Linked DNA regions of Caenorhabditis elegans. The protein of the gene in region 1 interacts with the protein of each later gene in a pairwise test. Each region holds a gene or a part of one and is shown on either strand. Other genes may lie near its edges.

Evidence for each region.
Region 2: the proteins of ret-1 (region 1) and K02B7.3 interact in a two-hybrid assay, tested with the Caenorhabditis elegans proteins (one large-scale study listed by BioGRID).

What each region holds. Positions count from the first base shown.
Region 1 is NC_003283.11:14,844,102-14,849,237, reverse strand, and holds the start of ret-1 (Reticulon-like protein), read left to right. Parts: upstream 1-1,925; coding exon 1,926-2,022; intron 2,023-2,641; coding exon 2,642-5,136.
Region 2 is NC_003280.10:14,693,514-14,697,400, reverse strand, and holds K02B7.3 (DUF148 domain-containing protein), read left to right. Parts: upstream 1-2,099; 5' UTR 2,100-2,115; coding exon 2,116-2,202; intron 2,203-2,484; exon of another isoform or gene 2,485-2,523; coding exon of another isoform or gene 2,524-2,577; intron 2,578-2,752; coding exon 2,753-3,025; 3' UTR 3,026-3,209; downstream 3,210-3,887.

The DNA.
Region 1 (5,136 bases):
AAAAAATAATTTTCCATATTTACGGTGCAATTCTAACAATGCTGAGTTCCCAATTTTTCCTGACGTTCTCCAACTTTTCTGACATGCCGTCAACTCTTTCATGAATTCCAAATATGAATGTTCCGTTTTGTTACTTCAAACTAAGTTTATACTGACAACTTCCTTTTTTTGGAAATGATTCATTTAGACTTGATATAATTAATTACCTGCCATTAGGTTTCTATCTTCTTTTCTATTGGCAGAATTATCTATCTTCTCTCGATCTTTTTTTTTATTTTGTTTTTTGTTTCATTTTCATTTTTTTTTCTCAAAATTTCATTTCACAACTTTCTCAAGTTACTCGATCAACTTCTTTCTTCTTTTCCAAAACTTTTTTCTGACAAAAAACTCTGAAACCCAACCCTCTCCCCCAATCCACGTCATCAAAACTCTCTGACCTACCTGTCAATGTGATTTACGATTAACAACAGATGCCCCTCTTACATCTGAACAGCCGACACAGCACGTGCTTTAAATGTTCTAGCTGTCTGCGTATCTAATATAAACTGGCATTTTTGTATGTTATAGATTGACAATTGACTGTAACTGGGGGAATGGAAACAGTTGGAAGTTTTCAAAATAGAGGTTATGGAAATAAAAACAATTTTGTTTGTTTGCTTACGTCACTCACCACACTCTTTCCATGAACATATGAGTTGATATCAATTGATAACATGGAAAAACGAGACAAATTGCATATTGCTATATTTATTTTCGCTTTTTCAGATGTCAGACTTTCTAAATTTTCAATATTGTTACTACTAGTACTGCTTCTTTTTTTGTGAGCTTATATCTTGGCTCATTTTTTTAAAAAGAGAAACGTCAGTAGGAGAATTGTTCAAAATATCTTCTATAGTGCAATTACCACTAAAAATTGCAAGATTTATTTACAATCAAGATGTGCCAATTTTAAATTTTCGCGGCTCATAAATTTGAAAGTCATTTTTTAAATCAACCAGAAAATGGTTTTTTATAACGGGTTTCAACATAAACGATTGTTTTGGATTATGTGAATTTGAAAAAAAATTTAATAAATTTGTAATGTTAAAAATATATTGTTGTTTTGGCAGTTTCAGAATTTTAATTGAATTTAAATTTGAATGTCAGAAAAAATTCAAAAATAAGTCAGTTATTGGAACTTTTTTTCAAAAAATATTTCCTTTGCCAATAAGCACTATAAAATCAGCAGTGAATTCGAAAAAAATTAAGTGGCTGTTAAATAAGTCAATATGCGTTTGAACAAATGACGTAGAAATTTGAGATCGACTTTTTCTTATTCACATTCGTGCTTCTCTGCGTGTTTTCCAAAACACGGTCGCTCTGTTTTGATTTCAACATAATATTTAAACAGGTGAACAGACCGCCATGCAAGATTTATCGGTCAATAAAAGGAAGCTGAAAAAACTAATTTCGAAACCTTCGAGAACAGAAAAAAAAACTGTTTCTCTTTCATGGGCAGGCATTTCATGAGATTTTTAAGTGCTTTCCTTTAAATAATTTTGAAGCCACCATGATTTTGAGCTTATCACTGACACCCCCATCTTTCCCCTATTGTCATTTGAAACGTATGACTTGGATCTCTGTTTGAGCTGAAAAAGAGATGAATGAGATGAAAGAGAAGAAGACAGAGGGCAACAACAAAAAGAAAAACAAAATAGCACAAAAGAGCGAGATGATCGAAAACCCCGAGAGAAAGCAAAAATGCTCATCACCTGCGGTGAGACGGCAGCTGTCCCCGCAGAAATATCATGTACCTGTGCGGAGACGCAGGGTATACAATCACATGGTGAACTCCTCGGGGTCCCTTCATCTCGTGTCAGCACATTTTTGTGAGCTCCAAAAAATTTTGTCACGAAAAACACCACTTCATGGATGCTGAAAACGAAATGAACGCTGAAAATGTCGATGTGGAACTTTTCTTTCGAAAACCACCGGAGATCACAAATTTTGAGTTGGTTAAGACAATTTGGATTGACCCGAAAGGTGAGTGTTTTTTCATATTTTTTTTAAATTTAGTTTGTAAAAATGCAGTTTGAAAAAAAAAAATTGAAAAAGCTTGATTTCTAATAGATTGTATCTCTTGCTAGTTTTTTTTGTGAATTTTGAAAATTTTGAAGTTCATAAGAAAAAGCATTATATAACTTTTTTAACTTAAAATTTCTGAAAAAAAACTTTAATAAATGTTCCACGTATCCAAGTAGGCACATATCCGATATCTACCTCTGAAATTTTTGTTTTTGATTTTTTCAGTTTATTTCTAGACATCCCGCAAAAATGATTCAAAAAATAGTTTTTAGGCATTAAAAAAGATAAAAAAAAATTTAAAAAGATAAAAAGGTAAAAAAGTCGACAAAATTATGTGGAAATTGTTTGGATTCCGATATATTTCGGAAAAAAATCTGAAAATCAAATTCGAAAACCCATATTAAAATATCGGAAAAGAGCTTTTGGAGCATTTATAGGTCTCAAAAATAAAGCAAAAAAACACTGAAATAATTAAAAATCAAAATTTAAAAGGTCGAGATTAATGCTTTGTCAAGGTCTTTCACTTAGAAAAAATAATATTCTTAAATTTCCTTGGAAAATCTTTTTGTCATTTCAGAGGAGACAAATTCCACAAACGAGCCAACATCTGAGCATGAGCCAAAATCCCTCCAGCCACTTGCTCTTCAACCCCTTCAAACTCCTGAGTCAGAGTCCGGTGGGTCCTCTTGTTCTCATTCGGAAGTTGAACAACTTCCTGACGATATTCTCAATGAACCTCTTGATGATGAAGTTTTTGAAGAAGAAGAAGAAAATGTGCAAACTGATTTACTGTTCCGTCAGCCAAAGAATTCAGAAATGGAATTAGCTTACACCATTTCAAAAAGTGCCGAAATCAACCTGGATGAATTGGAATTTGAGGATGAGGAAGTCGAAGTGGATCTTTTGTTCCGTGAGCCAACTGATCGTCGATTTGAATTGGTTTATACAATTCCAATGATGGAAGATGTGAGTATTGATTCTCAGGAAACCATTACTTTTGAGGACATTCCACCATCTGAAGAACTAGATAACGTTGTGGAAGAAGTTACAGATGTTGCTGAACTTACTGAATTTACATTTAAACCAGTTGAAAAAGATGAACAGACTGAAACTGAGTCATTCACTACAGTCCTAGAAGCGAATGCTGGAGAAGGTGCAAGAGACTTTATCGAAAGAGTTAAGTTGACTTCCAATGACACTTTGGATGATTTGGATGATGATCCTGAGGAAGAAACTTTCCAAAATTCGTTTGTAAAATCTGTGGACTCTAAGACGCCAACTCCAACAGGAGACAATTATGAAATTGAGGATTCCTCTGTATCTGATGTTCTCAAAGATGCAGCCGAAAAATTGCAAATAATTCGAAATTATTCTGCGGACTTGGAATCCGAAAAAGATACAATTAATACGGATGTTCAGCATGTCTTCATTGGTCTTGAGGATGAAGGTGGTGTTATACCAATAATCCAAGAAACACAAGAATATGTTGCAGAAATTGGACCTACTCAAGATAATCAAGAGTATGATTCTACTTCTAAAAGTGATTTGGAACCTCAAAGCTCTGCTGATGGGGTTGTGGAAACTTCGACTTTCGAAGCCCCAGCAGTCTTCGGATTGGAAGATTCTGAAGATATTATAAATAAGCATGCACTGGAAACAGCATCAAATCAAGAATTCTCGAAAATTAAAGAGCCTGAAGTGACTGAAGTTTCTGAAAATACCGCAGAAAATTTGAACGAAGAAGTTGGAGAATCTAAGAATCCGGAAGCAATCGATCTTGTAGAATCTGGAGAGAACGCAGGCATCGAGCAAAATGCAGGAGCTGAACAATCTCAAAAAGAAGCGGTTGAGGAAACTTCAAGTTTTAAAGCCCCAGCAGTCATTGGGTTGGAAGAATCTCGAGATATTTTGAAAGATCCTTTACTTGAAACTGCACCAGATCAAGAAAACTTCAATAATAAAGAATCTGAAATGACTGAAATTGCTGAAATTACAACCCCAATTAGACTTGAATCGTCTGGAGACAACTTCATTGGTACCGATCCAGAAAAGGGCACAGAACAAATTAAAGGTTCTGAGAGCTCCGAATTAGTAACCCAAGAAGTCATTGGGTTGGAAGAATCTGGAGATATTTTGAAAGAACCAGCATTGGAAACTGTAACAAACCAAGAACTTTCTGAAAATAAAGTTTCTGAAGTGACCGAAATTGCTGAAAATATAACCCCAATCGGACTTGAATGTTCGGGAGACAATTTTATTGGTACGGATCCAGAACAGCAGCCAGAGCCCATCAAAGGGATTGAAAGTTCAGAATTGGATGTCATTGGGTTGGAGGATTCTGGAGATGAAGTGAAACAATCACAGTTGAAATCTTCAGAAGATCAAGAATTTTCTGAACTTAAAGAACACGATGCATCTGGAAATGTTGATGAAACTGGTGAGAGCGCAGATATCAAACAGGATGATGTAACGGAAATTGTTCAAAGAGAAACGATTGGGCTTGAGGATTCTGGTCTTGCAGAGATTGTCGCTGCTCATGAGAAAAATTTGACATCTTCTGATATTGACAGTTCTGTGATTCCGGAAGATGCGGAAAATGCATCTCCAGAGGCGATTGGCCTTGAATCTTCTGGAGACAACTTTATCGGTACGGATCTAGAACATGAAGAAGGTCAGATTGACAATTGTGAGAGTTATGTATTGGAAACAGCAGCTGTCATCGGTTTGGAGGATTCTGGAGAGAACTTGAAAGATTCTGTACAGGAAGATCCACCGGAGAAAGAATTCTCTGAAAATAAAGAATCTGAAGTTACTGGGGATGTTGAAAATACAACTGCAATCGGACTTGAATCTTCAGGAGAACACTTCATCGGTCTGGAACAAGGACAGCAAGCAGCTTCCATTGAAGCAAATGAGAATTCTGAAATGGAAGCTCCAGCAGTTATCGGTTTGGAAGATTCTGGAGATAATTTGAATAGGCCTGCATTGGAAACTGCATCAGATCAGGAAAGTTCTGAAAATAAAGAACCTGATGCATCTGAAAATGTTGAAGAAACTGAGCCAGTTTCATCT
Region 2 (3,887 bases), on another chromosome or scaffold:
TCATAATTTCATTGTTTTTTTGTTGCAAAATCATATTTTAAACCGATTAAATTGCGCTTAGTATGATGTGTGTTTAGAGCGATGATCAAAGCGGAACGTATGCCTCATCATCGGGAATCGCAAAAAAACCTGTCCTTTTGGATGAGAAAAGTCAATTTTGACGGCGAGAAAAGGCTTTTTGATATCTTTTTTAGATGATTTTTATAAGAGTCACTATCTTGATAGTAGTTTTAAAGTATATTTTAAATTATATTTTGGATTAAAAAATTATTTTAAAGCAGTCAAATAACAGCCCCCGAACTTTTCAAATTCCGAAAACGCAAAAATTTAACTACATAACAACGAAAAAACGAGAAATTTCAACAATTTACGCTTGTGAGAGTCTAAAATAAAGTAGTTTCAAAAAATTGGAAAAAAATGTTACAAAAATTCCAGTTCAGAAAAATAAGAAAAATCTATCGATCATTAGATTCTCTGAAAACTACGCTCAAATTTTCTGATTTTTTTTGCCGTTTTGAATTGATGGAACATTTTTTTTTGAATTAGGTTAGGATGTGTTGATCAAGTTTTTTCAAAATACAAAAATTTCAAAATCGAACTCAGTTTGCACCTCCATAACTGAGTCACACAAACTTCTATAGAAACATTTTGTTTTGAGAACCCCCGTTTTTGGTTTTTAAGCAAGTTTTTTTTGAATTGAAAATGCAAAATGTATCTTTCTGCAAAAAATAATTCTAAAATTCCTTTCCAAAAGCCAGTTTCTGATCAGGTTTTTTGGCATACATTGCTGGTATTGTTAATGCCAACAAACCGTGACTCATCCTATTTTCATTCAAAAAGGCTTCTTTTTCTTTCAATGTAGGTTTTTTCTTTAAGACATTTGAATTTATAAAATTTACATTCAGCTTAATATTTAAAAATAATAATAGGGTTAGTCATGCAATTTTGTGACATGTATCAAAATATATTTTATGGCGTCATTAAGTGTATTTCACTTGTCTTTAATTTCGTTTTGGTAGCTCAGTTTGTGAACTGGTAAAATAAAATATAATTTCTTCTTGATTGAATACACTCATAAATAACAAATTACGGCAATTGAAAGTTTCCAAAAAAATCAGTTCAGCTAAATTCTTGGCCTTATTTTTTTTTGACTACTTTGGAAAAAAACAATCTAAATCTGCGTAGTACATGTCTGAGTAGTACGATATGTATAAAGAATGGCAATAATTTAATTTTAAAAATTTCCACAAATATGTATGTTTTGCAAAACATTTTTGATCCGTAACTCCTTTTTTTAATTTCGAAAATGATTAACGGTTCCCATTAATTGAGAATAACGATTAACTAAACTAAACTATCTTTACAGCCAGCAAAAATGACTCATCTCAGAATACATTTTATAGTTTGAAACACATTGTTTTTTCATCTCTCTGGCTAAGTTCCTCCTTGTGATTTTTGTACACTAAAGTTGTCGACGAAGCTTCTCAAAGTCACGAGAAATGCTCCAGTAATTCTTTGCTCTTTTTCCTGAGCCTCAGGTATGAGCAATGTTTTGTATTGAAAGCTCTTGCTCATTATTTTAATTTGGAACGTATTCCTGAGTTATTTTTAGTGACAGAATACCTAGTTTTGAGTCGCTACTCAGAAAAAGTTATGTGATATTTGATATGTTTGTCGATAGTATTGAACAAGGGGGGTGAACAGGAAGTGAAGTGATGGGCCCACATATTTGCATATCAAACTACTATTTCCTGTTTCTCATAAGTTTGCACTTGCCTAGCCTAGCAAGACCTTCGTTTCTTATTTGGAAAATGTCCCACTTTGAAATTTTCTGAAATTTCCAGAAATGCCCAGAAATTTCTTACGCTCTTTCCTTGTGCCGCCAAGAGAAAATGTTAAATATGTTATGATCATGATGCCCACTCACTCAATTTTTCACCAAATAAAAAATGATAACGGCCCCCGTTTTCACATGACTCATCCTCTCAGCACTATATAATTTCAGTTTTTCTCCAGAATTGTAGACACTCTGGCAACACTGCTGCTTTTTCTCTTTTCGTTTTCATTAATAAAATATAAAGTTTAAAATTTTAAAATTTTCAGACTCTCCACAAAATGCGTCCAGTCGTCTTTACACTTTTGATCACACTTTTGCTCGCCAGTTCTGTGCAAGCCGATTGGTGGGACGGGTTCACTGATACGGTAGGTTAAGAAAAAGCTTTATGTCTGCTTGCCTATGTGCCTGCCCATCTTTTTTTTTTGTGTCTGGTCGTTCTAATACTTACTTCTAACTTCCCACTGATTTGGACAATTTCCAAAAGGCAAGGCAGGCATAGACAGGCAAGCCTACAAAAAGCCACGTGCCAAACTTTTGTAACTAAATGTTTAAGAATTTAAAAATTCGCTCAATTTTTACGTGGCCTTCGGATTTTTTTGGATTCTCTAACTTTTCAATCACGTATTTTTTTAACAAAAAAACAATTATTTTTGAATTTCTTTTTCAAAATCTGACCAAAATTCGAGATGGAGAAGCTCACCAACTTCTATAACAATCATAAAGACGCTTATATCAGTCAGGTAGATAATGTAATTTCAACATTAAAAATCTGCAACGATGTACCTGCCTACAGAGCTAAGCCTTTTTGCCCTCAGCCTATGCCTCTAAGTGCCTTAGCGTTTTGAGAATTATTTGCCAAAGCTTTTCTCAAAAACAAAAAATTACATCGCAAACTCTGAATTTCCGTTCTTGCAGGTCAGCGGAGGTCTGAACAATGCCGCCGGATGGTTCAAGGAGACGGCGTCTCCAGCAATCCGTGACAAGTTCAACGAGTACAAGGAGAAGCTTCAGGACCCGGAAACCCACAAGAACATCCGAGAATGGGTTGCAGAGAAGTACGAGGCCGCATCCGAATTCACAAAGGAGGAGATTGTTCCGGAGCTTAAGAAGGTGTACGAGGCGGCCACTGCTGATGTGACGACGAATGAGCCGAAAGAGGAGAAGGAAGTGACTTTAGATGATAATTGATTTAATTAATCAATTATTATTTATTTATTCACATATTTTTCTTATGCATTACTCAAAGCCCACGTTTATCATGTGCCTTATTCCAATGACGAATTGTAGTTGTATTTGTTCAAAAGCAAGCATAAAATGTTTTTTCTGTAATATTGAATTGTTTCAAAAAAGTTTCAAAATGTGGAAATTTGCGATATTTCAAATATGAACTGTGACAACTCCACAGAACCAAGTTGCATAATGAGATTTCTTTTAAAAAAGTTTGCACGGTTTTATTTTAAAGTTTTGAACATCCATAAAATATTGGTGAAAATTCAAGAGGCCTCGTTGTTAAATTTGGTTTGTGCGTCTACCAAGGGAAGTATTTCAACTTAATACAGGGCTTCTGACTGAAACTTATGGCATTTGAAAAAAGCCTTCTGGCTAGGCCTTCTACAAATAATTTAGCGACAGAGGAGCACTTTGGAAAACAGTCGCTCTGAAAATGTTTCAGTGCATTTTTTCACAATTTTCTAGACCCGTAAAGGCTCCAACTGTGAAATTTTCAGATTTTTGATAATTTTTAGGATGTTCAGAAATGGACATTCGGAATTTTTCTTGGAATTTTTTAAAATTTTTTTTTCGTAAGTTCTAATAGTAAAAGTTGAAAATTGGACATGTCCTTGCTCGAATTTTCGAATCATTCTTCAACAAAACACTTCAAAAATTGTTTATCCCTGTCTCAAATCAGTTGCAAAAGTGAGTTTAAATTTTCTAAACTTTCAAGCGTATATAAAAAATTTCAGTTCCTCCCCGATACACCACCAATAAAACTGGAAAGATTAAATGGAAGGCGACCGATACGGATCAATAAAGCAACTAGGTAGGTATG